Linked DNA regions of Tamandua tetradactyla. The protein of the gene in region 1 interacts with the protein of each later gene in a pairwise test. Links are inferred from orthologs where the notes say so. Each region holds a gene or a part of one and is shown in the gene's direction. Other genes may lie near its edges.

What was found.
Region 2: the proteins of KRTAP26-1 (region 1) and GRN interact in binary tests that used the Homo sapiens proteins (3 or more experiments, as listed by UniProt). The two-hybrid records come from large-scale screens. The link is inferred for Tamandua tetradactyla from reciprocal best matches to the Homo sapiens genes KRTAP26-1 and GRN.
Region 3: the proteins of KRTAP26-1 (region 1) and GDPD5 interact in a two-hybrid assay, tested with the Homo sapiens proteins (2 studies listed by BioGRID and IntAct). The two-hybrid records come from large-scale screens. The link is inferred for Tamandua tetradactyla from reciprocal best matches to the Homo sapiens genes KRTAP26-1 and GDPD5.
Region 4: the proteins of KRTAP26-1 (region 1) and CCNJL interact in binary tests that used the Homo sapiens proteins (3 or more experiments, as listed by UniProt). The two-hybrid records come from large-scale screens. The link is inferred for Tamandua tetradactyla from reciprocal best matches to the Homo sapiens genes KRTAP26-1 and CCNJL.

The regions. Positions count from the first base shown.
Region 1 is NC_135336.1:89,679,359-89,684,940, reverse strand, and holds KRTAP26-1 (keratin-associated protein 26-1), read left to right. Parts: upstream 1-4,283; coding exon 4,284-4,934; downstream 4,935-5,582. UniProt on the Homo sapiens protein: In the hair cortex, hair keratin intermediate filaments are embedded in an interfilamentous matrix, consisting of hair keratin-associated proteins (KRTAP), which are essential for the formation of a rigid and resistant hair shaft through their extensive disulfide bond cross-linking with abundant cysteine residues of hair keratins.
Region 2 is NC_135332.1:23,122,444-23,130,881, reverse strand, and holds the start of GRN (progranulin), read left to right. Parts: upstream 1-5,177; 5' UTR 5,178-5,290; intron 5,291-5,449; 5' UTR 5,450-5,531; intron 5,532-7,575; exon of another isoform or gene 7,576-7,837; intron 7,838-7,911; 5' UTR 7,912-7,914; coding exon 7,915-8,052; intron 8,053-8,166; coding exon 8,167-8,301; intron 8,302-8,407; coding exon 8,408-8,438. UniProt on the Homo sapiens protein: Secreted protein that acts as a key regulator of lysosomal function and as a growth factor involved in inflammation, wound healing and cell proliferation. Regulates protein trafficking to lysosomes, and also the activity of lysosomal enzymes.
Region 3 is NC_135334.1:70,096,164-70,104,389, forward strand, and holds the start of GDPD5 (glycerophosphodiester phosphodiesterase domain-containing protein 5), read left to right. Parts: upstream 1-5,063; 5' UTR 5,064-5,596; coding exon 5,597-5,731; intron 5,732-8,226. UniProt on the Homo sapiens protein: Glycerophosphodiester phosphodiesterase that promotes neurite formation and drives spinal motor neuron differentiation.
Region 4 is NC_135346.1:41,538,616-41,546,262, reverse strand, and holds the start of CCNJL (cyclin-J-like protein), read left to right. Parts: upstream 1-4,541; 5' UTR 4,542-4,643; coding exon 4,644-4,709; intron 4,710-7,647.

The DNA.
Region 1 (5,582 bases):
GGTCAATTTTCATTTGTTAAGGAAAAGCCAAGTTCTATTTGTGAATGTTGCATTTGTCAACAAATAATTAAGTATTTGCCAGATTTCCCAATATATGCTGGGAACAATGATAATACTTACTTTGTTTAGAAATGTAATAAGGAGACGTAAGTTAATACATTCGTGGTGGTTTGAAACTGTACGTACCACAGGACAACATGTTTTTAAAGTTAATCCATTCCTGTGGTTATGTACCCATTGTAAGTAGGATCTCTTGATGAGGCTGCTTCAGTTAAGATGTGTCCTACCTCATTCAGGATGGGTCTTAATCCTATTGCTGGGGTCCTTTATATAAACAGAATGAATACAGAAAGAAAGAAGAAAGCCACAGAAGCAAGAAGGTGAAGACAATGAAACCTATAAGAGAAGGGAGAGACTAGTAGATGCTGCCATGTGCCTTGACATGTGACACTGGACCAAAGGATCAAAGGCAGCTGATCTTTGGGAAGAGAGCATCACCTTGATAATGCTTTGATTTGGACATTTTTATCAGCCTCAAAACCACAAGCTAATTTCCATTGTTAAAAGTCAATCCATTTTATGACATCTGCTTTCACTAGCTTAGATAACTAAAGCAATATCTAAAACATTTAGAATAGTGTCTAGGGTATAATAAGGATGCAGTAAATAGTGGCTAATAAGAGCCCATAATATAGTTGGGAAAAATAAGACATATATAGAAAACAAAAGGTTTTCCTTGCAAGCCAAGGGGTGTGTGTGTGTGTGTGTGTGTGTGTGTGTGTGTGTGTGTGTATGCGTATTAGGCAAATCTAACTATAAATATTTAAAGGCTGGAGAAAAATTGGTAGGAATGGTCTGGAAGGAATTTGTAAAGAATAGGGCAATTTAACTGGGGTTGAATAATGGAAAATACTAAAGAATGATTTTTCCAAGTGAGAAGCCAATGACAAGTGAACAGATAATGTGAAACAAGGGTAATGTGGAGTAATTAATCGCATGGGCCAACAAGTCAAAAGGCAGAAAAGGGTCTCTACTGGGAAGCAAAGGAAGGACCACCAAGTGTTTGGGCAAATTCTCTTTGGCTAAATGAAAGTCAACAACATTTTTCTGTATAAGAGTCATCTGATGAAATTTATTTGAGGGGGTAATAATCTAAATCCAATGTTCAGGATAAATATAAGGCAATAGGTATAGGAGCCAATGATGCCAACAAGAAATCTATGTATTTAACAAAGATGCAAATCTCTGAACTTGAGTGATGGCAGTGAAAGGGAGGAAAATGGATGAAAAAACAAAATTAATTTTATGTAGCATTGAGGGAAAGAAACATTAAAATAGGTACTTCCTCATTTCGATCTGTGCTGTATTTTGGAGTAAGGCTGAATGTCACAAAATATTGCTTAATCTCAGCATTCTCTTCTTAAAATCCATTTTAGAATAAACATGCCTGCAGAACAAAATGTCAATAACTTTTCAGATGATTAAATCTTTCAGCATATGAATACAAATTTAGTTACTACAACTCCTGCCCAATAACCCTCAATTGAAATCACTGGGCTTTCATTTTTTCTGTCTTTAAAACTTGACCATAGCCTGATGTGTCCTTCCCTTCCCCAAACCACTGGTCATTTCTTCCCATTTTTCAAAATTAATTTCAAATGCTGAATTTTAGATAAAGCCAGTTTATTATGTCTGCTCTTCTCTGAATCTCACTAATAGAAAGTGGTATACAGTCATGCATTGTGTATTTGTTTTACCACACCTACAGGATTAGGTGTGTCTCAAGAGCAGAAGCCAATTGTATCCTGTTATCATCTCAGAATCTATCATAATGTTTTGCACATATTTGATACTCAATAAACATTTGGTGAATGAATGTATGAGATGCCTGTCATTTATTATCATATCCTTATTGTTGCAATTCTCTGAGTCTTCTTTACCTATAAGAGAGAAAAATTTGAAATTCTACCTCTAGAGTAAGAGAAGTAAAAATCCTTGGCTCCTTGAAGAAAAACTAACAGTGTAGGTATAAATGGGGGAGCAACACAGGATACCCAATTCCTCATAGTATACCTGGGTCCTTGCATCAGAAAAAGAGCCCCCAAACTGTAGTTTATAGAAGCCTTTTAAGGCTTCTCCTGATAAGGCTTCTAATGTGATGCCCAAATAAGCCCTTTCATTTTAGTGGCACAGCTACTCTTAAATAACACCAGTTCAATATATGTTACCTTAAGGTGTAGTTTACTTTTGGGACACCATATTTTCTAAAAATCTATAGATATTTTTATAGGATTACCTCTCAATACCAGAAAAAAATTAAATAGCCTCATGGTAGTACTCTAAAGCAATTGAACCCAAGGGCAGTTGTCTTCAGAATGGCAGACGGATGTCAAAGCAAGATAGCAATAACAAACAAAATATTCTTTTGTAGTGTCTGATGGTCACATTAACTTTTTAACTATTTCATTATATCTAATCCTCTAAATGTAATTTGAAAATTGATGTTAATATATTCATTTCCATACAAATGATATTGGTAGTGACTAGGGTTCAGAAGAATTATGAAAATTGTCCAGGACCTCACAGATAGTAGATGATCATATTAGTGCACTTTGCATAATACTATTTTGGAAAGAGGGAGGAAAATTGTTTGGGGGCTCAAGGAGCATTATTTTCAGATATTTTTCTTAATATCAATTGCCATACTTTCTAAATTCACGTTTTCTCATATAAACACTTGGAATAGTAAAAATACTGTTCAGAATTATGAGGATAAAGTGACATTACACCACAATGGTCTATCACATAGTAGGACTCAGCAAATGCTAGTTACCTTGCCTCTTTTTCGACACCCATTTATTGGATGGAGAAACATTAACATATATACTACATATACACTGCATATGCATACAGATCCCCATATGTGGGTGGACTAATGATACAGATGCTAGGTACTTACTTATAATATAGAATAGCAGACATAAAGCATCAACACACAGTTTTCATAAACATTCAGTTAAGATGGCTTTACCCACTACCAATGCCATTCAGTTGATGCATTCAGGATTTCACAAGACTCAGCCAGCCGTGAGCACCTCTTTTGAAATGAATTTCACAACTAATGTAAGGAATAAAACAGAATCTATGTCTTAATCATTATATCTTATTTTTTTTTTTTTTTTTAAAGGAAAGACAGAGAGAAGGAAGGAAGGATAGAAGGAAGGAAGGAAGGAAGAAAGGGAAACATCTTTTAAACATTTTCTTGTTTTATTGTATTCTGTTTCTCCGTTTTTGTTACATGGGCTGGGGCCGGGAATCGAACCGAGGTCCTCCGGCATAGCAGGCAAGCACTTTGCCCGCTGAGCCACCGCGGCCCGCCATTATATCTTATTTTGACCAAGAACGATAATTTCCAGTTAGAATATGAGTATACCATGAAATAAATAAGGCCTTTCATAGTCATGAAAAATGGCATGTCATCCAATTTTCTTTAAGCAGTCTGTTTATTTGCTTTTGTTCATAGTAGAATCCATAATTTTAACTAAGCCCAACTACTATCATCTATATTAAAGAATATCTCAAACAAAAACCAAGCTTCCATCTTAACTCAATTTATTTATTGAAGTGAATAAATGAGAACATTTTGTGATAAAAATGTGTGTGGGAAGCCACCTTCTACTAGTGTTCTCAAATAAAACAAAGCACAAATTTGGCACATAGAGTTTTTCCATATTATACAAGTTTTATACTCTTTCTACCCCAAGCCATATGGGTTATAGAATTAACCACTTTCTTTTTCAACTTACTTGCTTCCATGCTCCTTACTTTGGACAATTTCAGAAAAGTATAAAATTTCTCCTAAGAGTGAACAATTTGCCACAGATTCAGAGAAGTTTGCTACAAGAGTTAAAGACAATTCCAAGAGAGGAATTTAAGAATGTTTGTGCAATGGTGGTTATAACTGGAAAAAAATGCATGGGCTTCTAAAGTGTCTGTTTTGTTTGGATAATTTAAGGAGACATTCTATTAATATCCAGCCACATGGGTTTATATCCACATTTCATTGACAGAAGGCATTAAAAAGGACATCTAGTTTTATGTGGTCTCTACTTCCTGTGCTATAATAAAGAGTTCTGATGCAGCCTCATACAACAAGGAAGAAGGGAGTCTGTATACAGAACCACCACCTTCTAGCTATATATAAAGGATCAAGCCTAAGAGAGGTATAATCAAACTCAGGCACTTCTTTCCATTGAACCACAGCCTGCTCTTCATACCTCACGATGGCTTGCCACAACTACTGCTCTAGAAACTACAACATGGGATCATTCAGAAATTCTTGCCACATTCCTATTACCTCCTCCACTGCCCACTGTTCTACTAATGTGAGATCTGGAGATGTCCTCTGCTTACCCAGTAGCTGTCAAGGCAGTATCTGGCTCCTGGACAACTTCCAAGAGACATGTAGTGAACCAACCAAAGAAACCTACGGAGAACCAACCAGTTGCCAGCCAGGCATCTGTGTTACCAATAACCGTGGAACTTCTTGCTGCTCTTCCACTGCATACCATGTGCCCAGATCCTGCCAACGAACCAGCTTTCTTCCTACATCTTCCCACAACCCCAGTTCCTGCCTTCCGGTAACCTTTAGACCTCTGAACTACGTACCCAGCAGCTGTCATCCACTCAAACCTCTTCTCTACAGCTTCCAGCCCGTAAGCTGTGCTCCCAGTGGCTATAGACCTTTAAATTGTTTATCTAGCAGCTGCCGTCCCCTGAGCCTCCTCACCTATGGATGCCGACCCTTAGGTTGTTTGACCAGTGGTCCTCCACCACTTAGTGTTGTGTCCAGCAGCCTCAGACCTCTGCATCTTCTCTCCCATGGTTGTCAACCTTTGACTCATGTGGTCAGCACTTGTTGTCCATCCTACTGAGCGCTGGAACGGTAACTTCCTTGTTCCAGACAATAATCCTGCTGAGGAACCAGAACAAACATTCATACTTCATGGACTTTTTGCTTCTTTCCTAGTAGAAACTGCTTTTTCTTGGTTTTACTGTGTCCTATATAATACCAGTTGCTTCTTTCAGATTTTTAATTGTTTTCATTTCTTCATGACCTCAAATAATTGGTTTACAAGCTCTTCATTGCCACTCATGTGTGAGAAGAGTTTATTTGCCTTATATTGTAATAAAGTAGATTCAGTCAGAATTAAGAATCTGGTTCATCAATGTGTCTTTGTTGCTTTATCTGACAAAGAAATTACCAATCTCACCTGCTTGCAATCTGAATGCATAGGAGAGATGATATTCAAACCATATGTTCATACTTGGAAGAAGGGGTATAGCTTGGTGGCTTATTCCACAAGCTGCTCTCTAGACCTGTGATCCTAGATATTCTTAAGAAATGTACATACCTGCTGTTGGAAGTTATTATGAAAGGGCAAAATTAGGAATGATCTTCCTTACCCCTTTCTCTTACAGTGAACATACTTCTAGCAGAATGTTCCTTCTAGCTGCAAAACTGAACCATGTCTTGCCCCTTATTAAACCTTTGATGGCTTATCTATTTCCATAGTATAAAA
Region 2 (8,438 bases), on another chromosome or scaffold:
CATAACCCTTACCCCTCGCTTTCATTTATTACTAACATTTCAAACTAGATTTATTTTAACATTTGTTCCCCCTATTATTTATTTTTATTCCATATGTTCTACTCATCTGTTAACAAGGTAGATAAAAGGAGCATCAGACACAAGGTTTCACAATCACACAGTCACATTGTGAAAGTTATATCATTATACAATCATCTTCAAGAAACATGGCTACTGGAACACAACTCTACATTTCCAGGCAGTTCCCTCCAGCCTCTCCACTACATCTTGAATAACAAGGTAATATCTACTTAATGTGTAAGAATAACCTCCAGGATAACCTCTCCACTCTGTTTGGAATCTCTCAGCCATTGACACTTTGTCTCATTTCACTCTTCCCCCTTTTGGTCCAGAAGATTTTCTCAATCCCTTGATGCTGAGTCTCAGCTCAATCTAGGGTTTTTCTCAATCCCTTGATGCTGAGTCTCAGCTCATTCTAGGATTTCTGTCCCACGTTGCCAGGAAGGTCCACACCCCTGGGAGTCATGTCCCATGTAGACAGGGGGAGGGTGGTGAGTTTGCTTGTTATGTTGGCTGGAGAGAGAGGCCACATCTGAGCAACAAAAGAGGCTCTCTTGGGGGTGACTCTTAGGCCTAAATTTTAAGTAGACTTGACCTGTCCTTTGTGGGGTTAAGTTTCATATGAACAAACCGCAAGGCTGGGGGCTCAGCCTATAGCTTTGGTTGTCCACACTGCTTGTGAGAATATCAAGAATTCAACCTGGGGAAGTTGAATCTCTCCCCGTTCCCACCATTCCCCGAAGGGGATCTGGAGGTTATTCTCACATGTTAAATAGATATCACCTTGCTAGTCAAGATGTAGTGGAGAGGCTGGAGGGAACTGCCTGAAAATGTAGCGCTGTGTTCCAGTAGTCATGTTTCTTGAAGATGTTTGTATAATGATATAGCTTTCACAATGTGACTGTGTGATTGTGAAAACCTTGTGTCTGATGCTCCTTTTATCTACCTTATCAACAGACGAGTAAAACATACGGAATAAAAATAAATAATAGGGGGAACAAACGTTAAAATAAATTTAGTAGATTGAAATGCTAGTGATCAATGAAAGGGAGAGGTAAGGGGTATGGGATGTATGAATTTTTTTCTGTTTTCTTTTTATTTCTTTTTCTGAATTGATGCAAATGTTCTAAGAAATGATCACGATGATGAATATCCAACTGTGTGATGATATTGTGAATTACTGATTATATATGTAGAATAGAATGATCATAAAATATTTGTGTTTGGGCGGGCCATGGTGGCTCATCAGGCAGACTTCTCACCTGCCACACCAGAGACCTGGGTTCGATTTCCGGTGCCTGCCCATGCCAAAAAAAAAAAAAAAGAAAAAAGAATATTTGCATTTGTTTGTTGTACATTTTTTAAAAATTTAAAAATTAATTTAAAAAAAAGCTGAAAAAAAAATCCCCATAAAGCAAGAGACATGGGGACCAGGCTCCACGACTGTCCGTCCATCTCTGACACCCAAAGAGACCAGTGGAGGGTCAGGGGCACGCTGCCCACCTTGGGGTCAGGCTGAAGGCCAGGGCATCAGGGAAGGAGGTGAGGTGACAGCCAGCATGGGCAATGGGGGAGAACCTGTCTGTGGGGACTTCGAGCAGTGAGTTATTTCCATGTAAGCAAACCTGGAGGGGAAGGTATCAAACCACCAGGCTGGACAGGGGCGAGGCTATGCTGGGAAAATGAAAGGAGTCCCCAAAACAACAAGGGCTGGTTGGTGCAAGGGAATCAGAAAGGAAGGACTCAGGAAGGGGCACACTGGGACGGGAGCTTTGGCATTAAATCCCTTCGTGACCCTGGAAATTTGCCTCTTCAGTCTTCCTGGTCACAAAATAATATCCCATTTCTAGAAGCAAAAGGCACCTCACCTGGACCTGTGAACTGGTAGATGTAATTGTTTTAGCCAAACTTCCGTCTCCCTAGTTTTAACCTTTCCCTTCAATTCCTGAGTAAGGTGATAACTCTCTGGAGGTGTTTGCAATTAAATAGGAATGTATTGAATTATAACAGTAAAACATCTGGAATGGTTTTCCCTGAGTCTTTACATTTGGACATTTAATTTAGGGTCAACTTTTCCTGATCTTTGACCACCTCTGGCTTCCTTTCAGGCTGGCTCTCTGAAGCCCTGAGAGCACTCAGGGTATATATGTGTTTCGGGGGGTGGGGGGGCAAGAGGTATGATTATTGTATTAGTTGGGGTTCTCTGGAGAAACAGAATCAACAGGGAATACTCGCAAATATAAAATTTATAAAAGTGTCTCACGTGACCGCGAGAATGCAGAGTCCAAAATCCACAGGGCAGGCTGTGAAGCTGACGATTCCAGTGGAGGGTCTGGACGAACTCCACAGGAGAGGCTCACCAACTGGAGGAGGAAGAGAGCCTGTCTCTTCTGAATCCTCCTTAAAAGGCTTCAGTGATTAGATTAAGCATCACTCATTGCAGAAGACACTCCCCTTTGGCTGATTACAAATGGAATCAGCTGTGGATGCAGCTGACATGATCATGATTTACTTCTATGAAATGTTCTCATTGCAACAGACAGGCCAGCACTTGCCTGACCAATCATACAGGTACCACCACCTGGCCAAGTTGACACATGAATCTGACCATGACAATTAGAGTAGAGGGGATCCGTTAGAGTCTCATCTTAAACCTCTTTGGTGAATAAACCTCATTCATTCTCGCCCAGATTTCAAAAATGAAGTGGAGGCTTTTGCACTACTTTGCATGCCAAGAGCAGCGTTGTCGGCACTCTGCCTAGCACACAGCAAGCCTTCAGAAATGTCAGCCACTGACACCACCACCACCTGTGTCATTTCACTACCCTTTTTCTCTGTCATTGTTCTTTACTCCCATCATTTGTCTCTACCTCCGGATCCAGTACCCATGCTGGCCGTGGCTTTTTTCTTCTTCACTGTCAAAATGAGGCCTGACTTTATCCTGAGCCTCTCTATAGAGATTAACAATAAATTACAAGAAATTAAAAAAAAAAAGCAAAAGACAGATGAGGTTCTTGAATTCAAGGTTTAAGAACCCCGGAGGTCTTCTGGAAGGAGGTGGTAGAAATTCCACAGTCCTTGGAGGCAACTGCCCTCTCCAGGGAAGGGTTGGTTGTTTTCAGTCATTTGGGCAGGGCTGTTGAGTAATCAGGCTGTTTAGTAAGCAATTACTGTCTAAGTAGAGTAATTGCTTATGATTTAAACTTTCCTGAATGCTCAGTCTCATGCCTCTGACCACTCACTGTTGCCCACAAAAAAGGGATGTGCTGAAGGCCTTTTGGGTTGTGCAGGCTTGCTTTTAAGTTGTTCGATCTGTGGTTTGCAGTTTTCCCTCTAAGGCTTTTAATCCTTGCCAAACACAAAGTGACTGCCCCTAGAAACTTCCACACACACAGCCCCCAATCTATCGATAATTTGCTGTTGCTGAGGAATCAGATAACTACGTTTATTAAAAGCACATGAAACAAGAGATTAGATGCTCTATATGTGGAACACTTTAGGGCTCTTATGGAGAAAGTTTGGGACCCTCCAGAGCAGGGTCTCTCAACCTCAACGCCACTGACATTTTGGACCTGAAGTTCTGTGCTGTGTGGGTGCTTCTGTGCATAGGGAGATGTTTAGCAGGTTCCCTGGCTCCTCCCCACTAATACCAGTAGCATCTCCTTCCCCAATTGTTACAGACAACCCGAAACGACTCCAGACATTGCCCTATGTCTCTGGAGGACAAAATTGCCCCTGGTTGTGAACCATGTCTTTAATTAGACTTTGTGATGCTATTTTCAGTCGTTTTTTTTTAATTTGCCTGTATTTTTGTGGATTTTTTTGGTTCTGTGTAGTTGTGATTAAAGGACTTATATATTAATTTGTCTAACATTTCATAAAGTCATGTGTGTGTGTGTGTGTGTGTTCAGTAAAAGCATAAGCAGGGGGATGGAATAGTCCTAGATTATCAGCAGGAACCTTGTCCACTTTTGGGATCCTTCCTAGTTCCAGGCTAAGAACCGCCACCCAATTCCACAGTGCTGCCCCTCCTTCCCTACCCAGACTCCTATCACTACTGAGTTTGGTTATTTGTCCCTCTACCCCAGCCTCACCTTCGGCTCAAGTCATTTCCTCAGCTTGCCGGCCCTTCACCCACTCTGGGAGACCAGGTCCCAGCACCCTCCCTGGATGGCTCCTCTCTGCTGGCCAGCCTCCCATCACCCACCCGGGCCTTTTGGCGTGGGGCGATTCTGGCTCCTGTGGCCTGTCAATCCACTGTGTGTGGTAAGTTGTCTCCCCTCACCTGCCAGTCAGTTCCTAGACAGGAAGACCAGCTTCCACTAGGTCGGCCCCAGACCCCAGCCCAGCCTGCGCAGGTAGCCAGAAGCGACTCAAGCTCACTTCGCTGCACGTGGCATTCAATCCCTGCCCGTGGCTGCCCTTCCCATCTAGTTTTCTGATACTTTTCCGAACATCCTTTTTCCAGCCGACTCTCCAGCCCCTCAGTACTCCCAGAGCCAGCTTAAGGTGTTCCCTGGTGGGATTAATCCACGCCCCCAAGCCCAGGTACTACTCACCCCCTACACACATCTATAGCATCTGGCACACGACCTTGCCTTAATTTAGTCTGAGCCTGTCTCCCCTTCCCCAGGCTGGGGGCACCTCGGGGAAAGGGACGGGGGCTAGGGGCGTATTATTCTTGTCCTTACAACCCTCCCTCAACCCCCCTTTGGATCTGACGGCCTAGCATTTAATCCAAGTGTGCTGGATGGAACAGGGTGGAACAGAATAGGGTAGAAAGGGGCTGCACACACGTCACATCCTATGAACACCCGGGATCGCGCCCTCTGTCATGTCCCCTGACACCGGCGGCCGCGCGAGGGACAAACTCCGGCGGAGACCGCAAGGCAGGCACAGGCAGCGGGCTGGGGCGTCATGTGATTCTCCAATCACATGATGCCTAAGAATAAGGGTGCGGAGAGAGAGGAAGTGGGAGGGAGGAGAGTGACTTGGGCAGGAAAGATACACAGCATTCCAGTCTGGCCCCGCCTCCACGTCGACAAGTGACCAATGGGAGCGCGGCAGCGGCCCCCTGGCCTATGGGGACGGAGGTGGGCGGGGCAGAGGCGCCGCAAGTCCAAGAGCGGCGGGGCTGAGGCCGCTCAGGCAGCGCCGACTCCGAGGCCGAGTGGGAGGCCGCCCGCGCAGACCCCTCGCTTGCTCCTGCCTGGGGGCCCGGCCGCGGACGGTGAGCTGGAGGCTCCTCTGGAGTCTCAGACGGGAGACAAGAGGAGACTCGCTTATAGAAACTGCTGGGGGGGTTCTCCTGCACTGGAGGGAGTTCTGTAGGCGAGGGAGCGAGCTGTCACTACAGTGACCCGCCCCCTTAGAAGGGTCCCCTCTCCAGGATTCCCGGAAACTGCAGCCCCTTCCCCGAAAGCAGAGACCGACCAGCCCGTTCTTGAGCCAGCTTCACCCCCTGTTAGCAGGTGCCGGCTCCTTCCTCTCCTGGTGGGGGTGGGGGTGGGGGGCGGGGGGCGTTCCCGCGACTTCTTGGAGAGGGGAAGCGCCTGCCGCTCGTCCCGGAGCTCGGAGGGGTTGGGAGGGGGAATTGAAGCTCAGGCCTCCTCGAAGGTGGAAGGGATCTGGAGTGGCGAGAGAGCCCCGAGGTGGTGCCTGGCGCTTCCTTACTTCCTGTCGTGGGGGGAGAATGTGGGAGGCGGGACGAGCTAGCTTCTCTCTCTTCCTGTCACTTTTTCCTGCTCAGTTGCTGCTGGGTTGGCCCACCTTTAGGGAATCTCCCTCAGCCCCGGTACTCGGAGTTGGGGGTGCCTCCTAGTGGAAGATGATGGTACTGGGGGCTGGAAGAAGCTTCTGTCCTCTCTGTTGTGGTAGTGTGGGGTGTGGTGAGAAAGGCTGCCACTCAGAACCTGGTGAAGAGGAACCAGAGGGAAATTGAGCCTCTTGGTCCTGCATGCCTCGCTGTGTGCGTGTGCTTGCGCACGCATGTATGAGTACATTTTCGATAGAAGCATACACCATACTTCCTAACCTCAGGATGCACAGGAAGGAAAATATACATAAATAAGTCATGGAGGCCTAGATGGGTGTGGACAGGCACCCTTGTGGCCTAAACCAAGAGCAGAGCCTGCTGTGTGGTGAGGTTGGACCCACCACCAACACCCACCCAAGAAACAGATGAGTCAGAGGCAGATGCTTAGGTGGTGGAGAGAGAGAAAGGGACAGTGGGCCCAAGATTAGACGTCATCATCCTTTTCGGGCTAGGAGATGACTTCTTGGGAATGTTCTTTGAGTTGAGAGAGGGACACCTGAGGAAAGCCAGGTAAAGGGGAAAGAAGATTTAAGGGACTTGGTGGAATTTCCCAACCTCCTTCCCTTTGCCTCCCACTCAGTGCTGCCACACATAGACCATGGGGACCCTGCCCAGGGACAGGGAGCAACTTTTGAAGCTCTCACAGTTGGTTAGTGGCCAATTCTAGGACCAGGACCCAAATGCAGTTTCCACATTGTACCCCCTGTTTCCACCCTGCCTGGTTCACCTGCCCAGAAAATCTTTTTGTTCCCCTCCCTCTGCTTGGACCCAGGTGCTCTGTCCTTCTGGGGGTTCGTGTCTATTCTGGGGCACTGGCCAGGGTGCCACTTATGAAATAAATCCAGGTCCAGTGTGTTCTGCAGCCATCAAGCCTGTCATCACCATGATTTGTTATATGACATGGGCGTGTTACTTGACATCTCTGAGGCTCCATTTCTGCCTTTGAGAAGTAAAGATAATTACTACTTTGGGTGGTTGTTGCAAAGAAGAAATAAAATGACCAGTGCTGTCACTGGCCACCAAGAGGCTCAACACACCTTCCTGTCTGCTCCTCTAGGCCCAGTAACAAGCCCCAGGCCTGCCCTGTTGAACTCACAGGGCTGCTGAGCTTGGGGGAAGTGCTGTTGGGAAGTGAGAGTCTATACCCCTCAGGGACATGAGGGTCGGTTCCTCCTGCTGCCTCAGATTGGCAGACAGGTGGGCAGGGAGGCCCTGGCAGGGCACATATGCTCTCTCTGTGCTTGTGGCTGAGTTTTGGCCCCGAAGGTTTGGGGAGAGGTAGGGCAGGGGATTGTTATGTCTGGGGAGTCTGATAGGGCGCTGATGGTGTTCGGGGGGGTCCCTCAGAGAACAGAAGTCTCGGAGGTTGACCCAGGCTGTGGGAAGAAGGGGACAGTGGTGGGCAGGCAGTGGCTGGCCTCTGGAGAAGGTAGCTCCGGCCCCACAAGCCACCACACTTCCTTTCTCACAACTTTCCCCACACTGTGGTTTCCCACATCACCCTGTGATGACTCCCACACAGGCACAGCAGGTGTGAGCACAACGGGGGGGGGGGGGGCGAGCGGGCACTGGACGGCATTGGCTGGGGAAGGGGAGGCCTGGCTTTACCTCAGGGAAGGTGGGAGCTCCCTCCCTCCAGCGCTGCTCTCTCCCAGGGTTACTGCACCCCTCCGCCCCCCAGTGGCCCATGTCCCCAGAGATCAGACCGCCAAACCCCACATGCCTTCCTCACTGGCACCTGTGATTGTGATTGCGAACCACCCACAGAGACGCAGGTGTCAGGCCATGGGTCGGGGACACAGTATATGTATATTCATACTGACATGGCCAGGAGATGACTTCTTGGGGATGTTCTTTGAGTTGAAAGAGGGCTCCTCCAGGAGACATGGTGGGAACTGAGTCTCAGGCTCCATATCTTTCTTCCATCCTGGACAGTGAGTTGTTGGGGATGTTCAGGCAGGCCTGTGGGTGAGTGAATCAGTGCTCAGAATCGACAGCGGCATGGGCTTAAATCGGTTGCCAATTTTTGTGAACAGACAATGTGGACCCTGGTGAGCTGGTTGGCCTTGATGGCAGGGCTAGTGGCTGGAACACAGTGCCCTGACGGTAAGCTCTGCCCTGTGGCCTGCTGCCTGGCTGCAGGAGGAGACCGCTACAGCTGCTGCAGTCCCATAGTGGTGAGTGCCCCACACCCAGGCAAAAGCTGGCAGCCTGGATTTTCCCAAAGGGTCGTCCTGGAAAAGGAGGAGGCCAGGCAGTCTTTCAAATTAACCTCTCCCCTTTCTTCCCAGGACGAACAGTCCTCTCTGCTCACGATACAGAGTAAGCCTATGGGCACACCCTGCCAGATTGATGCTCACTGCTCTGGTGGCTCCTCTTGCCTCCTCACTGTCTCAGGGACCTCCAGCTGCTGCCCCTTCCCACAGGTGAGGGTACCATCAGCTCCATCGTTAGATCTGCATTTGTGCTTTTCCTGCACTCTCCCGCCCCAGGCAAAAGGGCCTCTGCAACACAGACTTCTGTGTCCCACAGGCCGTGGCATGCGGGGATGGACACCACTGCT
Region 3 (8,226 bases), on another chromosome or scaffold:
AGGGGGAGGCAAGTGTCCCGACTGCCTTCCCACCTCCTGTCCTATCAACCAGCCACGTGTTCCTGTGTCAAGAATGTCTGGCAGTCCTAAGAGGAGGGGGTCTGTCCTGGAGGATGAGAAGAACAGTTCCAAATAAGGACTTCTTCTGCATGCACGGTAGAAAGCACTCCCCCAAATATGTAGCTCAGGCACGCTAAGCATCTCTGTGGTACGGTTGAGGAAACTGAGGCCCATAGGACCCACTGCCCTCTGCCCTCCCAGTGAGTGGCTCCAGGTACCACAGTGGCCAGCAACAGCCTTAGAGCCAGACCTCCTGACTCTCCCTTCAGGGCTGACTCTCCTCTGGTCCTCCCTAGGGCAATGGAGAGAGCACGTAGATGTAGACTCATCCCAGCTCTCCTGCCTGCATCGCGTAACCCTTCAGCATGTTTCTTGGTTAAAGGTGTCCCTGCCCTCCCTTTCCCTCCTCCACCCATCACAGTACCTGTCCCCTGGAGTGGCATGGCAGAGCACTGGTTCCTGGAGCCAGGCGCAGAGCCTGAAAGCAGAGCATGTGTGGCAAACGTTTATGAAATCAATGAAAGAGATCCCTCTGTCCCTGCGCCTCGGTTTCCCTTCCTGAGGGATGGGGAGCGTTATCACCCCCTTGAAGGTGTGAAGAATCAAATGAGAATCAAACGAGATGGCCTGTGTGAATGCCTAGCCCATAGAGGGGGCTTTACCGGCACAATTCTCGCTGCTGCGGGTCGTTCGCAGCTCTCGGCCCAGAGGCAGGCGCGCCAGCAGCCCTCCACGTGCTGACGTGAATTTTCTAGGCGAGTCAAGACTGGGAATCCAGAACCCGAGGTGCTGTCAGTGAGACCCCCATGCCCACAGGCATGGGCTGGGCCTGGTTCTGGACCTCAGGTTCCCTACTCATGTCCTCTTGCTAATCCCCTCTAGAGTCGCACAGCCCTGGGAGGGAGGAGGGAAAAAAGGGGACCTGGGTGAGGATTGGGCACTGAGTCCAAAGCCCTCCCAGTCCTCCCCCCGCCCACCAACACCCCAGCAAGGCCCCCTCAGACCTGGGAGTAGCCTGCTGGGACCTCTGTGCTTTTTTTTTCATTTTGATATTTAGAGATGTTTGTGTTTTTTTTTTTTTTTAATATTTTTATTGAGATATTGTCACACGGCATATAGTCCATCCAAAGTATACAATCAGTGGCTTACAATATCATCACATATTGTGTACTCATCCGGATGATCATTTTTTGACCATGTGCATCACTCCAGGAAAAGAAATAAAAAGAAAACAGAAAAACTCATACATCCCTTACCCCTTACCCTTCCCTCTCATTGACCACTAATAGTTCAATCTACCCATTTTTTTTTTACCCCTTATCCCCCCCACCCATTGTTTTTGTTACTATTATTTTCATTTTCATTTTTATTTTTTCACTCAACTATCCATACCCTGGGCAAAGAAAACGTCAGCTACAATGTTTTCACAACCACACAGTCACACTATAAAAGCTATATTGTTATACAATCATCTTCAAGAATCAAGGCAACTGGAACACAGCTCAACAGTTTCAGGTACTTCCCTTCAGCCACTCCAGGACACCATGAACTAAAAAGGGGATATCTATATAATGCATAAGAATAATCTCCAGGATAACCTCTTGACTCTGTTCAAAATCTCTCAGCCACTGAAATTTTGTTTTGTCTCATTTCTCTCTTTCCCCTTTTGATCAAGGCTTTCTCAATCCCATGAAGCTTGGTCCTGGCTCATCTCCAGAAATCATGTCCCATGTTGCCAGGGAGATTTACACCCCTGAGAGTCATGTTTCCTGTAGGGGGAGGGCAGTGAGTTCACCTGCTGAGTTGTCTTAGAGAGAGAGGCCACATCTGAGCAACAAAAGAGGTTCTCTGGGGTAACCCTTAGGCCTAATTATAAATAAGCTTAGCTTCCCCTCTGCAGGAATAGGTTTCACAGGGGCGAACCCCAGGATCAAAGGCTCAGCCTTCTGAGTTGGTTGTCCCCACTGCCCTCACGAGAATATCAGGAATTCCCCAGATCTGGAAGTTTAATATTTCCTCCTTTCTCCCCGGTCCCCCCAGGGGGCCCTGCAAATATTTTTGTGTCCTCTGTCCAGATTACTCTGGGATGTATACAGACATCACACTGACCTGTACAAACCAACAAGATCTCACTCCTTATTCAGTATTCCATGTAATTAAGGTGTTTGAATAAACTGACCGTACAAGTTCAGTTAGATATTGTGCTACCAAAAATATAAAATTTGCACCAAATAAACATCTCTTCCTTTGGTCTCATACTGAGGCCTCTGTTCTTTTTGAACTTTATAATATAACATATGTACAAAGCAAAGAAAGAAAAAAGCGATAGTTTTCAAAGCACTCTTCGATAAGTAGTTACAGGACAGATCCCAGAGTTTGTCACAGGCTACCATACCATCATCTCAGATTTTTCCTTCTAGCTGCTCCAGAATATAGGAGGCTAGAAAGAATCAATATTTTTTTATCATCACAATTGTCTTTTCTTTTCTTCTTTGTGAAAAATAACATATATACAAAAAAGCAATAAATTTCAAAGCACAGCGCAACAGATCGAGTTGTAGTATAGATTTCAGAGTTTAGTATGGATTGCAATTCCACAGTTTTGTCTTTTACTTCTAGCTGCTCTAAGATACTGAAGACTAAATGAAATATCAGTTTAGCTTCCTGAGGACCCACCAAACTGCCTTCCACAGCGGTTGCACCATTTGGCATTCCCACCTACAGTGGATAAGTGTACCTCTTTCTCCACATCCTCTCCAGCACTTGCCGTTTTCTGTTTTATTGATAATGTCCATTCTGGTGGGTGTGAGATGATATTTCATTGTGCTTTGATTTGCATTTCCCTAATAGCCAGGGAAGTTGAGCATCTTTTCATGTGCCTTTTAGCCATTTGTATTTCCTCTTCTGAGAAGTGTCTATTCAAGACTTTTGCCCATTTTGTAATTGGGTTCTCTTTTTGTTGTTGAGTTTAGCAATCTCTTTAGATTTCTGGGTATTAGACCTTTATCTGATATATCATTTCCAAATACTGTCTCCCATTATGTAGGCTGTCTTTTTACTTTCTTGATGAAGTTCTTTGATGCACAAAAGTGTTTAATTTTGAGGAGTTCCCATTTATTATTTTCTTTCTTCAATGCTTGTGCTTTGAGTGTAAAGTGTAGGAAACCGCCTCCTATTACAAGATTGGTAAGATATTTCCCTGCATTTTCTTTTAAAATTTTTATGGTCTTAGATCTAATGTTTAGGTCTTTGATCCATTTTGAGTCAAGTTTTGTACAGAGTGTGAGATATGGATCCTCTTTCATTCTTTTGCATGTGGATATCCAGTTCTCTAGGCACCATTTATTGAAGAGACTGTTCTGTCCCAGGTGAGTTGGCTTGACTGCCTTATCAAAGAACAAATGTCCATAGATGAGAGGGTCTATATCTGAACACTCTATTCGATTCCATTGGTCGATATATCTATCTTTATGCCGGTCCCATGTTGGTTTGACCACTGTAGCTTCATAATATGCCTTAAAGTCAGGTAGTGTGAGACCTCCAACTTCATTTTTCTTTATCAGGATATTTTTAGCTATTTTGGGCACCCTACCCCTCCAGATAAATTGGTTATTGGTTTTTCTATTTCTGAAAAGTAAGTTTTGGGGATATTAATTGGTATTGCATTGAATCTGTAAATCAATTTAGGTAGAATTGACATCTTAATTATTTTTAGTCTTCCAATCCATAAACACAGTATGCCCTTCCATCTATTTAAGTCTTCTGTGATTTCTTTTGACAATTTATTGTAGTTTTCTTTGTACAGGTCTTTTGTATCTTTAGTTAAATTTATTCCTAAATATTTTATTCTTTTGGTTGCAATTATAAATGAAATTTTTTTCTTGATTTCCTCCTCAGATTGTTCATTACTAGTGTATAGAAACACTACAGATTTTTGAGTGTTCATCTTGTAACCTGCCACTTTGCTGTACTCATTTATTAGCTCTAGTAGTTTTGCTGTGGATTTTTTTGGGTTTTCGACATATAGTATCATATCATCTGCAAACAGTGAGAGTTTTACTTCTTCTTTTCCAATTTTGATGCCTTTTATTTCTTTTTCTTGTCTAATTGCACTGGCTAGAACTTCCAACACAATGCTAAATAACAGTGGTGATAGTGGACATCCTTGTCTTGTTCCTGATCTTAGGGAGAAAGTTTTTAGTTTTTCCCCATTGAGGATGATGTTAGCTGTGGACTTTTCATATATTCCCTTTATTATGTTGAGGAAGTTCCCTTCTATTCCTATCCTTTGAAGTGTTTTCAACAATAAAAGATGTTGAATTTTATCAAATGCCTTTTCTGCATCAATCGAGATGATCATGTGGTTTTTCTGCTTTGATTTGTTGATATGGTATATTCCATTAATTGATTTTCTTATGTTGAACCATCCTTGCATACCTGTGATGAATCCTATTGGTCATGGTGCATAATTTTTTTAATGTGCTGCTGGATTCGATTTGCAAGAATTTTGTTGAGGATTTTTGCATCTATATTCATTAGAGAGATTGGCCTATAGTTTTCTTTTCTTTTAATATCTTTGTCTGGCTTTGCTATGAGGGTGACATGGGCTTCATAGAATCAGTTAGGTAGTTTTTCCACCTCTTCAATTTTTTTGAAGAGTTTGAGCAGGATTGAAATATCAATTTAATGATTCAGCAATCATGTTCGTTTGTTAAGCCCTATCTTCTCTGTCTAACTCTGCCATCACCTTTGATCTTGCTATCCCACTCTTTAGGGGTATTTAGGCTATGGTCATTCTAACTTTTTCATATTGGAAGAGGCTGTCAGTAATATGGGATAGGAAGATGGAACTAGCTGATGTTCTGGAGAGGCTGGGCCCTCTAGGTTTCAGGACTTATCTGGTCCAGACACCCATCTGGAGGTTGTAGGTTTCTGGAAACTTACCCCAGTGCATGGAACCCTTGTGGAATCTTATATATTGCCCTCGGTGTTCTTTAGGATTGGCTGGAATGGTCCTGGTTGGGGGTTGGCAGGTTATGATAGGTAGCAAGCTCTAACTGAAGCTTGCATAAGAGCAACCTCCAGAGTAGCCTCTCAACTCTATTTGAACTCTCCCAGCCACTGATATTTTATTGGTTACACTTCTTTTCCCCCTTTTGGTCAAGATGGAATTGTTGATCTCACAGTGCCAGGGCCAGGCGTCTCCCTGGGAGTCATCTGTGATGCTTCTGTTCTCTAGGTGAGGCTGAGGCCAAGAGAAACTCAACTCCCGCGTCTCCCATGCTTTAGGCCCAGAGAAATCACTAAGGAATCAGGGTGGGCTTCCTGGACAGAGCAGCCTTCAGGGTGGACTCCAGGGTATAGAGGATTCAGCCAGGCATTCCTGGCTGGGGCACATGTGGCCTGAGCTCACCTTCCTCTACCACTGACTTGATGTATGACCCCAGGCACATCCCTGACCCTCTCTGGGCCAAAGCTTGCTTGGGAGTTAGATGGAGATATCAGTCCATGCCTGGCCTGAGGGTCCAGTTAGGTAATGGATACCAGTGTGCTTTGTGTTTTGTACAAGAAGGACCATTGTTCCAATCCTGGGAAAAACGTGCCCTCCCTACAAACTTTCAAAGTGGTGACGTCTTCTTCTTTGGTACTCTGGGGAAAAGTGATCCAGCAGGTCAGAGATGAGCTTCAGTTTTCCCACTTCTAAAATGGCGGCGATAATACCTTCTTCTGGGGCTTCTATGAGAATAAAAAAATGGGAGATGACATTACGTCCCTGATAGAGAGAAAGGGCTGGCTAGGGGCCAGTTTGTTATTGTGCAGGGAGCTGAGGAATTATCGAGACAACATAAACACGGTGTCTGTGGCTGAGGGTCCCCTGTGCTCAGCCTCGCTCCCTATGAAACAGCACTCAGGGTACCTGGCTTGGCTGTAGCAGCTCCAGGGGAGGCGGCTAAGCCCTTATTATGAAGCGCCATGAACACCTTTAGCATCTCATCTGGGAGCACAGATGGAGCAGGTGTGGGGGGCACCAGCAGAGGGACTGGGTCCCCCCTACCCTGTGACCTTGTCATGCCTGTGAGGGGCTCTGGGTAGTGCTTTCTAAGGGCCCCCCAGCTCTTCCACTCTGAGTCTCTCCCATGGGCTGATGGAGCCTGAGGGATGGGGGTGGGGAGGGGTTGCTCCAGGCCGGGCCTCATTTCATTTTTCTGCCTAATGAATGGCTCTAAGTGTACCCCAGCAAGGGCAGACGGAGCCTTAATTGCCCAGCTCTCTGCAGCCCAGAAAAATAAATCCAGCCTCTTAGGCTGCTCAGGAGCTGGGTGGGGGTGGGGATTCTAATCCCTTTCCCTGCTCAACCCTAATGCTACCCTACATCTCAAACTGTCCCACACTGCCCCCTCCCCCAAATCTCCTGGGGTCAGAGCCAAGGTAATCCATCCAGGACCTACGTGCCCCTCCTCTCCTGGAGCTCCCAGCACCCTTCCCATGGACCCTTCCTAAGCTATTCCTGTGTACCAATCTCCCCATTTGGAACTGGGTGAGGGAAGAGCAGGCTGCTGACTATTGAGAGGTTGGGGAACCCCCGGTCTGGCCTGCAGATGGGCAGGCTCGGCGGGTAGGCCCCCCTCAATCACTTTTTCCCAGTGTGGGGCTGATGGCACAGCCGAGCTGTGGGACCTCAAAGCACAGGCAGGACCACCGCGGTGATCCGGAGAGCAGGGCTCAGTGAGGTGTGAAGGAACTGCGCCAGGCAGAGCCAGCACCCAGGGGAAAGGGCTGCCATAAGATGGACAGGAAAACCAGAAAGCAAATCCACTTTCATACATATGATTATAGTGTGTGGTAAACGTGTGGATAGTGCTGCAAATATCAGGGAGGACAGCTGACTATCCATTTCTGTGAAAGTAAAATTAGATCCCTACCTCTTCCCTCAAACCCAGATAAATTCCAGATGGATTAAATGATTTTTTTTTTCTGTTTAGAAAGATAGCACACATTTATTGAGAAAACTCAAACAATTTGAAAAGGTGTAAGGTCAAAGAAATTCTGGTCTTAATGCTTTAGAGACAAGACTTTCAGACCTCTCCCCATGCACATGGACATCCACGTGGAGCTACAGATAGATGGATGGATTACAGATTAAACGTAAGCAGTGAAGCCAAGAAAATACCAGTCTAAAATATGAGTGAACTATTTCTTTCTTAAGTGCAATACCAAATGTAAAAAGTATAAAGGAAGGGGGATAGATTTGACTACATAAAAATTTAAACCTTTAATGCAAAAGCATCATTAAAAAATTAAAAATGATAAATTAAGCAAAAAAATAGACAATAGAGATGAAAATTCTCTATTGACATAGAGAGAGATTCTCTAATCCCATGAGAAGCCAGTTCCCCAAAACAAAAGCTGCCTTTCTCTGTGCCTATGAACCTGACACTCCCTCACTCCTCCTGGATTGTGGTGCCACAACCTTGTCATATTCCAGCCTCATTGCTGGTGTCTCCTCTAGGAAGTCCTCCAGGCCATCCCTCCCTGATAACTGGCCTTGTTAAGGATCTGGCCTCTGTGCTTCTAAGCAGTCTGTGCTTTCCTTCCTCACCACACTCATTCCCAGGATTGGCATTGCCTGCTTGCTGGTCATTTGTCTCTGGAGGCTGCTCCGCATGGAGTCCAGGCCTGGTTTATCTCCCAGTATCCAGGGCCCAGCAGGGCTGGCCCAGAGCAGGGCTCAGCACATGCGTATGCAATGACTGAGAGCGTGGTGGTGAGGATGGGGAGGGCAGAAGCTGGAAATCAGCTTGGGATGGAGTGTGAGGTAAGGGTCTAACTTCATTTGTTCCAAATGGATGGCTGGATTTTCCAACACCATCTGTTGAATTCCCCATCATTTCTGCACTAATTTAATATGCACTAATCGTGCGTCCATGTTTCAAGGCCATTCCTCTTCCAGTCTCTCCATTTGTTAACTGGACCTTTGGTGGATGAGGCGAGATGGCCTTTGAAGACTTCTCTGACCGAAATTCCGAGACGCCCATGCTGGCCTTTCCTGTGTCTCACAGTGTGACCTCTTTGTGTCTCTGAGACAGCAGGGGACATTGGAGGCCCACAGACCAGGGTTTAAATTCTGGCTCCACCATTTTGCCCTGTGTGACTTTGGGCAATTCA
Region 4 (7,647 bases), on another chromosome or scaffold:
GATCATAAAGCATTTGGTGACTCCTCAGGACTATGAAGAGTGCGCTCTTAGAGAGGTTTAAAGGGGCTGGTGTGGGTTTTGGTTAAATACCAAAGTAGTGCAAGGTTTATAGCTCTAAGTTCGTGGCCCAGATATCTCCCATCTGTCCCTTTAAACTTAGCCAGTCTTCCTGCTTTGGTTCCTAAATGAACTACAAAGCAAGCCATCACAAACCATCACAACCCTAAGGAAACTACTCTAAGTAGACACCTTTACTTCCCCTGGAAAGCTGAGAGATCAAGGAATTTATGTCACTGATACAACTGCAAGATATTCACTGCAGCATGGTTAGGCAGCAAAGGGCTGGAAACCACCTAAATATTCTTTTAATGTATCATGATGGATCCACACCACAGGACTACGGTATATTGTGAGCCAGCCCTGTTTGTCCTGACCTTAAACAAACTGCAGAATCTCCCAACTGCAAATAAACAAGGTGTGGAAAAGTGGGCCTAGTATGCTACCATTTCTGTAAAAGAAAAAAAAAGGCATGACTGTCTATAGTGGTAAATGCGCAGATCACCTCTCTGCCTAGAGACAGTGTAGGGAGAAGGAGGCCTGAGAACGTGGGCATATGTGCAGAAATGGGAGAGTCTATGGCATATGAAGGGATAAAGAGAGCAAGGAAAGTTGGGTGCAAAGTGAGAACTCAATAAAATAATATGATGGTGGAGAGAGTTGGCCAATTTGTACTCAGGAAGATTAGACAGGGCAGAGAATTTCTTTTCCTCGTTTTTCTCAGGGACAGTTGCAGGTAGTAGGACGTGCTTGGTCTGAGTCTGTGTTTCCCAACTGGGTGCCTCAGAGGTTGTGAGAGTAGGGAGAAGGGTTAATTGGCTCATAGCAAGTACTTGATAAAGAGGGTGGAAAGGAAAATGGAAAGAAGGAAGAAGGAAGGGAGGGAGGAAGGAAGGCAGGAAGGCAGGCTGGCTGGCTCCTTGGCTCCTTGAAGATGGAGTGGGTGGGAACAGTAACTTTAGTTGCAGTGTTCCCTGATCTCCAGCACCAGGAGCCACCCTCTCCTAAGGGCACAGACACCATTTCTACCTGTAAACAAACTCACGACCAAAACCATCAATTTATTGGTGAAATAGATTCTTACTCTTCAGAGCTCCTGCGAAAATAACAGATTCCTGAGAATAAAATACAGAGGAGTGCAGGTGTGCATGTGTTTAGAATGCTCTTAAAGTAGCCCCTGGAGGAAAGCCCAAAGTTTCTGCTTCCCTTTCTCCTGATAACTGAAAGCTGAAGTTTAGGTAAAGGGGAGTCCAAATGAGAGAATAATGCAGCTCTTCCTTTTTCCAGTGTTCTCTGCATACAACAACATTGTGAGTTGTTCAATGGAAAACCACACCTATTAAGTACATTATGTGATTATTTTAAAATAACATTCTCTCCTTTTATTTTCTGGTTGTGAAAATAATGCATGAGGAGTGACATCATCAAGATGAAAGTAATGCATGTTTTTTATAGAAAATACAGACATACTAGAATTAAAAAAATGAAAATTTCCCATAATATAATTAATATTTTCATGTACATTTTTCAGTTTCCTTCCTATGTACGTATGTGTGTGAATTAATGTGAGTATAACCGGCATAATACTTTAATCTCTTTTTTCACTTAATATATCATAAGTATTTTCCCAAGTCATTAAACACTCTTTAAAAAAGTTTTTTAAAGTGCTAAATAGTTATTTAACCAGCTTCCTGTTCTAATAGTTCTCTCTAATTAAGGAAGCATTGTGATGAAACCCCCTATAAATAAATTCCTGTGCTCATCTGCTTAATTTTATAGAATAAATTTCCAGAGATGGAAAAGTTGGATCACATGATACGTTTTAAACTTTAGGATTCATACTGCCTTTCAGAAAGATGACATTAATTTATATGCCCAAACGACGCTGTATATTTGTCAACCCTACCTGTATACTATATTTTTAAGAATCTTTGACAAAGATGCATTTCACTGTTTTTTAAACTTTTAATGTTTTTATTAATGAGTGTGAGCATTTTAAAAATTGTATTTATACATTTGAATTTCTTCTATCACACCATGCCTGTTCTTGTCCTCTATCCATTTCTGCATTTAGGGTGTTAGTGTTTTATTTATTGACTTACAAGAGGTCTATATAGTAAGACCAATCTTTTGTCATATTTGTTGTAAATGCTTTCTTCAATTTGTCATTTCTGCCTATTTTGGTGATGATTTTTGATATATCAGAATCTCACATACTTATTAAAATGTATCTACCAATCTTTGCCTTTGGTTTCTCCAATGCCTTAGTACTTGGGCCTTTCCCTCTGAAATAAGTCACCTAAGTTTTCTTCTAATTCTCTTCTGATCAATTTTGTAGCTCTTTGGGTTCTTACATTTATTTTGTGATTGTAAATAAACCCTAGTTTTGCTGTTTTCCCCCCAAATTAACTAATTTCTCAGCCTAATTTAGTGAAGGATTTATCCTTTTCCCCACCAAAATGAAATGCCATCTTTATCATATGGTCAATTTTTAAATATGTGTGTATGTTTCTAGACTTTCAACTATCCCACTGATACTTGTCCATCATTCTTGTGTCAACACCACAGTGTATTAACTATCATAGCTTTGCAATGTTTTAAGATTTGGTAATATAGGTCTATCACATTTTTAAAATATAAATTTTTTAGCTTCTCACAGTTATTCTCCATATGAATGTTAGAAAAATTGTCAACTGTCCCTTCCTCCATTTAGCATTAGAATTTTATTAAATAGAATAAATTGGGTAAAGTTGGTATGTTTATCCTCTTCTATTTCTTCAGGTCTTCAAGTCTATTATATTTCAAACTTGATAATTTCTTCATTTAGAGCCTGTACTAATTTATTAAGTTCATTTCTAGGTTACACTTTACAAACGTCCATGCCTTTTTACACTGACTTGTTTTCAAGCTCCAGGTGAACTTCATCACAGCTGATATATATACATATATATAATATATAATATCCCCACCGCCCCCCCGCTGGGTCTTTCCTTGCAGGAAAGCGTCAGAACTAAAAACTCTTTCGTGAACAGCTGTTTCACTGAGTGCTCATTACATAACCTGGCATGACGATAATCCCTTTAAACCTATTTATCTCAAAAGTACAATACCTCCAGTAAGTTGGTGCAATTCTTATTCCCATTTTATAAATGAACAATTCTAGGCTCAGATTTGAGGAACTTGTCAAAATTCCCCAACTGGTAGGTGGGAAAAGTTGGATTTGGTCCCAAGTCTGTGAATTTCCAAAAGTATCAAACACACACACACACACACACACACACACACACACACACACACACACACACACACACACACTCAAGTCAGCCAAGAGGACCGACCATGCTGTGCCATCAAATCGGCTCCAGAAGAGAGTCCCTTTTCGAAATCAATAAACTGAATAAAAAAGACAATGCTTTCCATCCGCCGGATTCTCCAAAAAGAAGTGGGCTTCCTCCAGTTTTAGCGTGGAACAGGAGCACAATAAATACCAGTTAACTAGTAGTGGGCATCCCTTAGAATTACGGACTCGTGGATAATCAAAAGTGACTTTTCTGGGACTTTCTTGAGAATGGTCCGTTTGTTAATCTATCTCCCTTTCTTGGGACAGGGTGTTTTCCTTAAAAAAACGGTTAGAGAAAAACAGGTGAAGCCGACGGAAGGTTGGCTAGGGCGCTGCACGCGGGGGCAGAACTTTCTGGGTGGACCTGCTCGCGCGTTTCTCGCGTGGTGCGCGCAGGTGACGCCTTGCGAAGCCCGGCGTGGGGCTGTCCAGGAGGCCACCGGGCGTCTGGGTGAAGGTGCGAGGAAGCTTTCCACCCAGGCGAGGGTGGGAGGCGGGCAGGAAGCCGAGCCAGCGCTGGCGAAAGACACACTCTAATTCCCAGCCCCCCGCCCCTCGGGGCGCGGGGCACCGGCGACGCATGCGCGAAGCCCGGCCCCCAATTCCCCCAGCGCGGGAGGGAGGCCCCGGGCGGCCGGGAGGCTGCGAGCCGCGGCGGGAGTCGAGCGCACGCCGGGGCGCGGCGTCTGCCGGGGCCAGCCGGGCTGCGGAGGCGGCAGCTAGAGTGTGGAGCGCCCGGGTCGGGGGCCCAGCCGCGTGCAGGCGCCCGGGAGCACAGCCGGCTCAGTCCTGGGAGGGCCCTGGCGCCCGCAGCCCCCCACGCCGGGAGAGGGATGTGTGAGTTTCGACCCCCGCTCGAGGGCAGGATGTGGGAGCAGGACAAAGGCTAGGCGGCGGGGGAGGAGCCCTAGCCTAGGGCGAGCTGGCAGAGTCGGCAACTTTCCCTGCAACTTTTGCAAAAGGGAAAAATCAAAATTCTGCAAGTTGTTGCAAAAGTCCAGATCGCCTCGGGTCCAGCGAGCAGAGGGAGGGGGCACCTCAGCCTTCCCGGGACGGGAGGCGACCGCCAGCTCCTCCGAGCCAGGCAGGAGGGGGCGCCCGTCCGGGTCCCCGGTACCCGGCGAGCGAGGATGGGGATGCTGGGGGTCGGAGCCGGGGGTCGCGCTCGGGCCACTGAAGTTGCTGGTGTCTATGCAGGGTGCACCCTGAGATCCCGGTAGCCCCGGACCGCGGCGCTGCGTCCGCGATGATGGATGAGCCGTGGTGGGAAGGACGCGTCGCCTCGGATGTCCACTGCACCCTGCGCGAGAAGGTCAGTCCCTCCCCGCCCATGTCTTTCACTAGACTGGGTATTTACAGTTCCTTTCACCCTCGACTCTGTGCCCTCACGTCGCCTCGCATGGGAACTGGGAACTGCGCGCCTTTCTTTTCTCCTGCCCTTGCCTTCTCTCGAAGTACCTAGGAGACAGTGTGGACGCTGCCAACCTGGGGGAGAAACTGGAGATCAGAGAGCTTGGAGTTGGTTTTTCTGTTTAGGCGCCCAGAGCTCCCGGACAGCTAAAGGGAGAAAGCCACTGCACCGCTAAGGCAGGAATTCCCATTGTATTGTCCCCCGAGATTATTTTAAACGGTACATGAATGGACTTTAAAAAAAACGATCACCGTGCGGGAGACCCAGATTCGATTCTCGGACCATGCACATCCCCCCCCAAAAAAAATCAAAACAGTTATGTATTTTAATGTACAATTAGAGTATATATATCTAGCAAGTTCTGCGTGGGATAGTGATGCAGATTTTCCGTTTACCCTAATGCCACAGTGTTTCCCTTTAAAATAAATGTAAGTAAAATTAATGACTCATTATAAAGAAATATTACGTAAATAGTAGCACAGGGAATACAATTGTGTTAAATATATATATATATAAGTTGAGACTGAATAATTGTAGTTTAAGAAACACCAGCCTAATTGAAAGAGAGGCTACAAAATTGGGAGACTGAATGGAGAAAACAAAAATTCCCCTGCCAGTTTGCCTCCTGTGGCAGAAGGTGGGGGTAGCTGAAATGTGATCCCTGCATCCCCCTCCCCTGGGAAACAGAAGTGCTGGTGGGCATTGGCAATATGGAAAAGTCCAGGTGGGTTGGAAGCCACGCCTGTGCATTGCCCTTCCTGCCCCTGGGCTGAGGCTGGGAAGGGTGGTTTGGGGACCAGATGTGAAGTAGGGGATGGGCGTGCCTCGGTCCCTACACAGGTCCCACATCGAGCCCATTTGTACCAGTTGTTTATGGGTGCTCTGTTGAAAAAGCAACCAGGTACTCAGAGATTTTTCCTTCATTAGAGACTGACTGTCTTCCAACCAAATCAGTGCTTTTTTTCTCTTATCCTGTCTAGTGGTGCCTATCCAGGCTGTGGCTTCTCTCTGCTTCCTTTGTTCTTCTCCCAAAGCAGAATGGCCCAGGTGCAACACACTCATTCTAGGTATCTGTAACAGAAACCCAGGTCTTGGTTGTTCTGTTAAAGATTGGGGACAGTGGGGTTGTGGGGGTGATAGCCTGGCAGTGTGATAGACCTGGCATGTCTTGGTCCTTTTCGGGGGGTGGTAGCTGAAAGGAGTTAGTGAGGGCTGTCATGGAAACTAGAAATTGGGCTTCCTTGTTTATCTTAGGTGCTAGCAGTTGTCATGTCTGCTTAGAGCTTGGGAGGAATGACTGGCCTGATTTGCCCCTTTCTAGTGGGATGGATTTCCAAGAGCTGTATAAACTCAACCACTTTCGTTGAGAATCCCCAACCTTTTACATATAGGCAAGGAACTTTCAACTCTCCTCCACACTCTCAAAGGAGCAGGGAAGAAACCTTCCCATTAATTGTGCTTTCCCCGTGCCTCATTAGTTGACTGTTGGGTGTCTCCTCTGAGGGAAGATAGGTATTTCCTGGTTTTACAGGTAGATAGAAAACTGACTCTGGGGTGATGGGCTCTTGACTTGAAGCTCTTTGAGTAGGGCAAATCCCAACATCCTTTGGCTCAATGTCATACCTCCCCAGTAAAGTGTTCATTCTTTTTTTTTCCTTACCTTTATGTTCCCTCCCTCTTCAGAGAAGATGCTTCTCAAGAATATTTGGCCTCATGGACAGTTTGCAGGGAGCAGTGAAGATTGAAGACTAGGAACCCAGTGTTCATTCTACCCTCACCTTCCATGAGGAATGAGGGCTGGCCCTTAGTTTTTGTCAAACAGGGTAAATTTTAATCAAACGTTTACTCTAATCATAAATTCCTAACACTGTAGGACAACTTTATGAGTGCCTGGCACACAGCAGACCCTCACTCTTCATCGACGGTTGCCAGAAGAACACAAAGTATGTGTATATACGTGTTCTCATTTAATTGTCATTATAGACTCCTGAGCAGTTACCCTCATTTGACTGGTGCAGAAGGGGAGGGCCTGAGAAGTTGAGGTTTGGCTAATGTTGTAGAGATCATGAGAGCCCCATTTTGTCAAATTTGAGATTCCAGTAAGCATCCTACTACAATATATAAAATGTGACTCAGCAGAAAGAACAAGTCTGGGTGCCGTTTGCAAACTAGTGGTGGTGGTAGGACCTTGACCTCTGAAGCTGGCCTCCCTTGTCCATTCTTCCCACAACAGCCTGAAATTAGATTGTCACTTCCCTGCTTAAAACCCTCTTGCGCTTAGAATAATATCCTACTCCTTAGCTCTGTGTGGAATACCCCATATAGTCTGACCCTTGCCTGCTCTCGGACCTTGACTCCTGTCCCCTCCTGCGACCCTCATTATTCTCAAACCACGCTAACTTCCTTTCTGTTCCTGAACACATCAAGTCCCTTTGTATCTCGGCCTTTGCATTGGCTGGTCCCTCTATTTGAAATCTACGTTTCACAGTTTCTTGCATGATTGCCCCTCCGTGGTTGTCACTATTAAATCACCCTGCTTTGTTTGCTTTATAGCATTTACCAGTGTCTGAAATTATTTTTGGTTCATTTATAATCTTTCTCCCACACTAGAATGTATGTTCCATGAGAATAGAGCTGTTTGTCTTATTCAGTACTGAGGTCTCGCTGTCTAGAACAGAGCTTCCCTGGTAGGTGTGGATTAGGGAGAAGAAAGAAGAAATCAGTCTTTGGTAGCTTCCTCTTGTGTAAACCGGGAGGAGATGTTTTATATGAATATTCGGATTAAGGGAGAGACTATGAGAACTGTGCGGGACACATGGTAGTACGCGAGAGGGTTGTT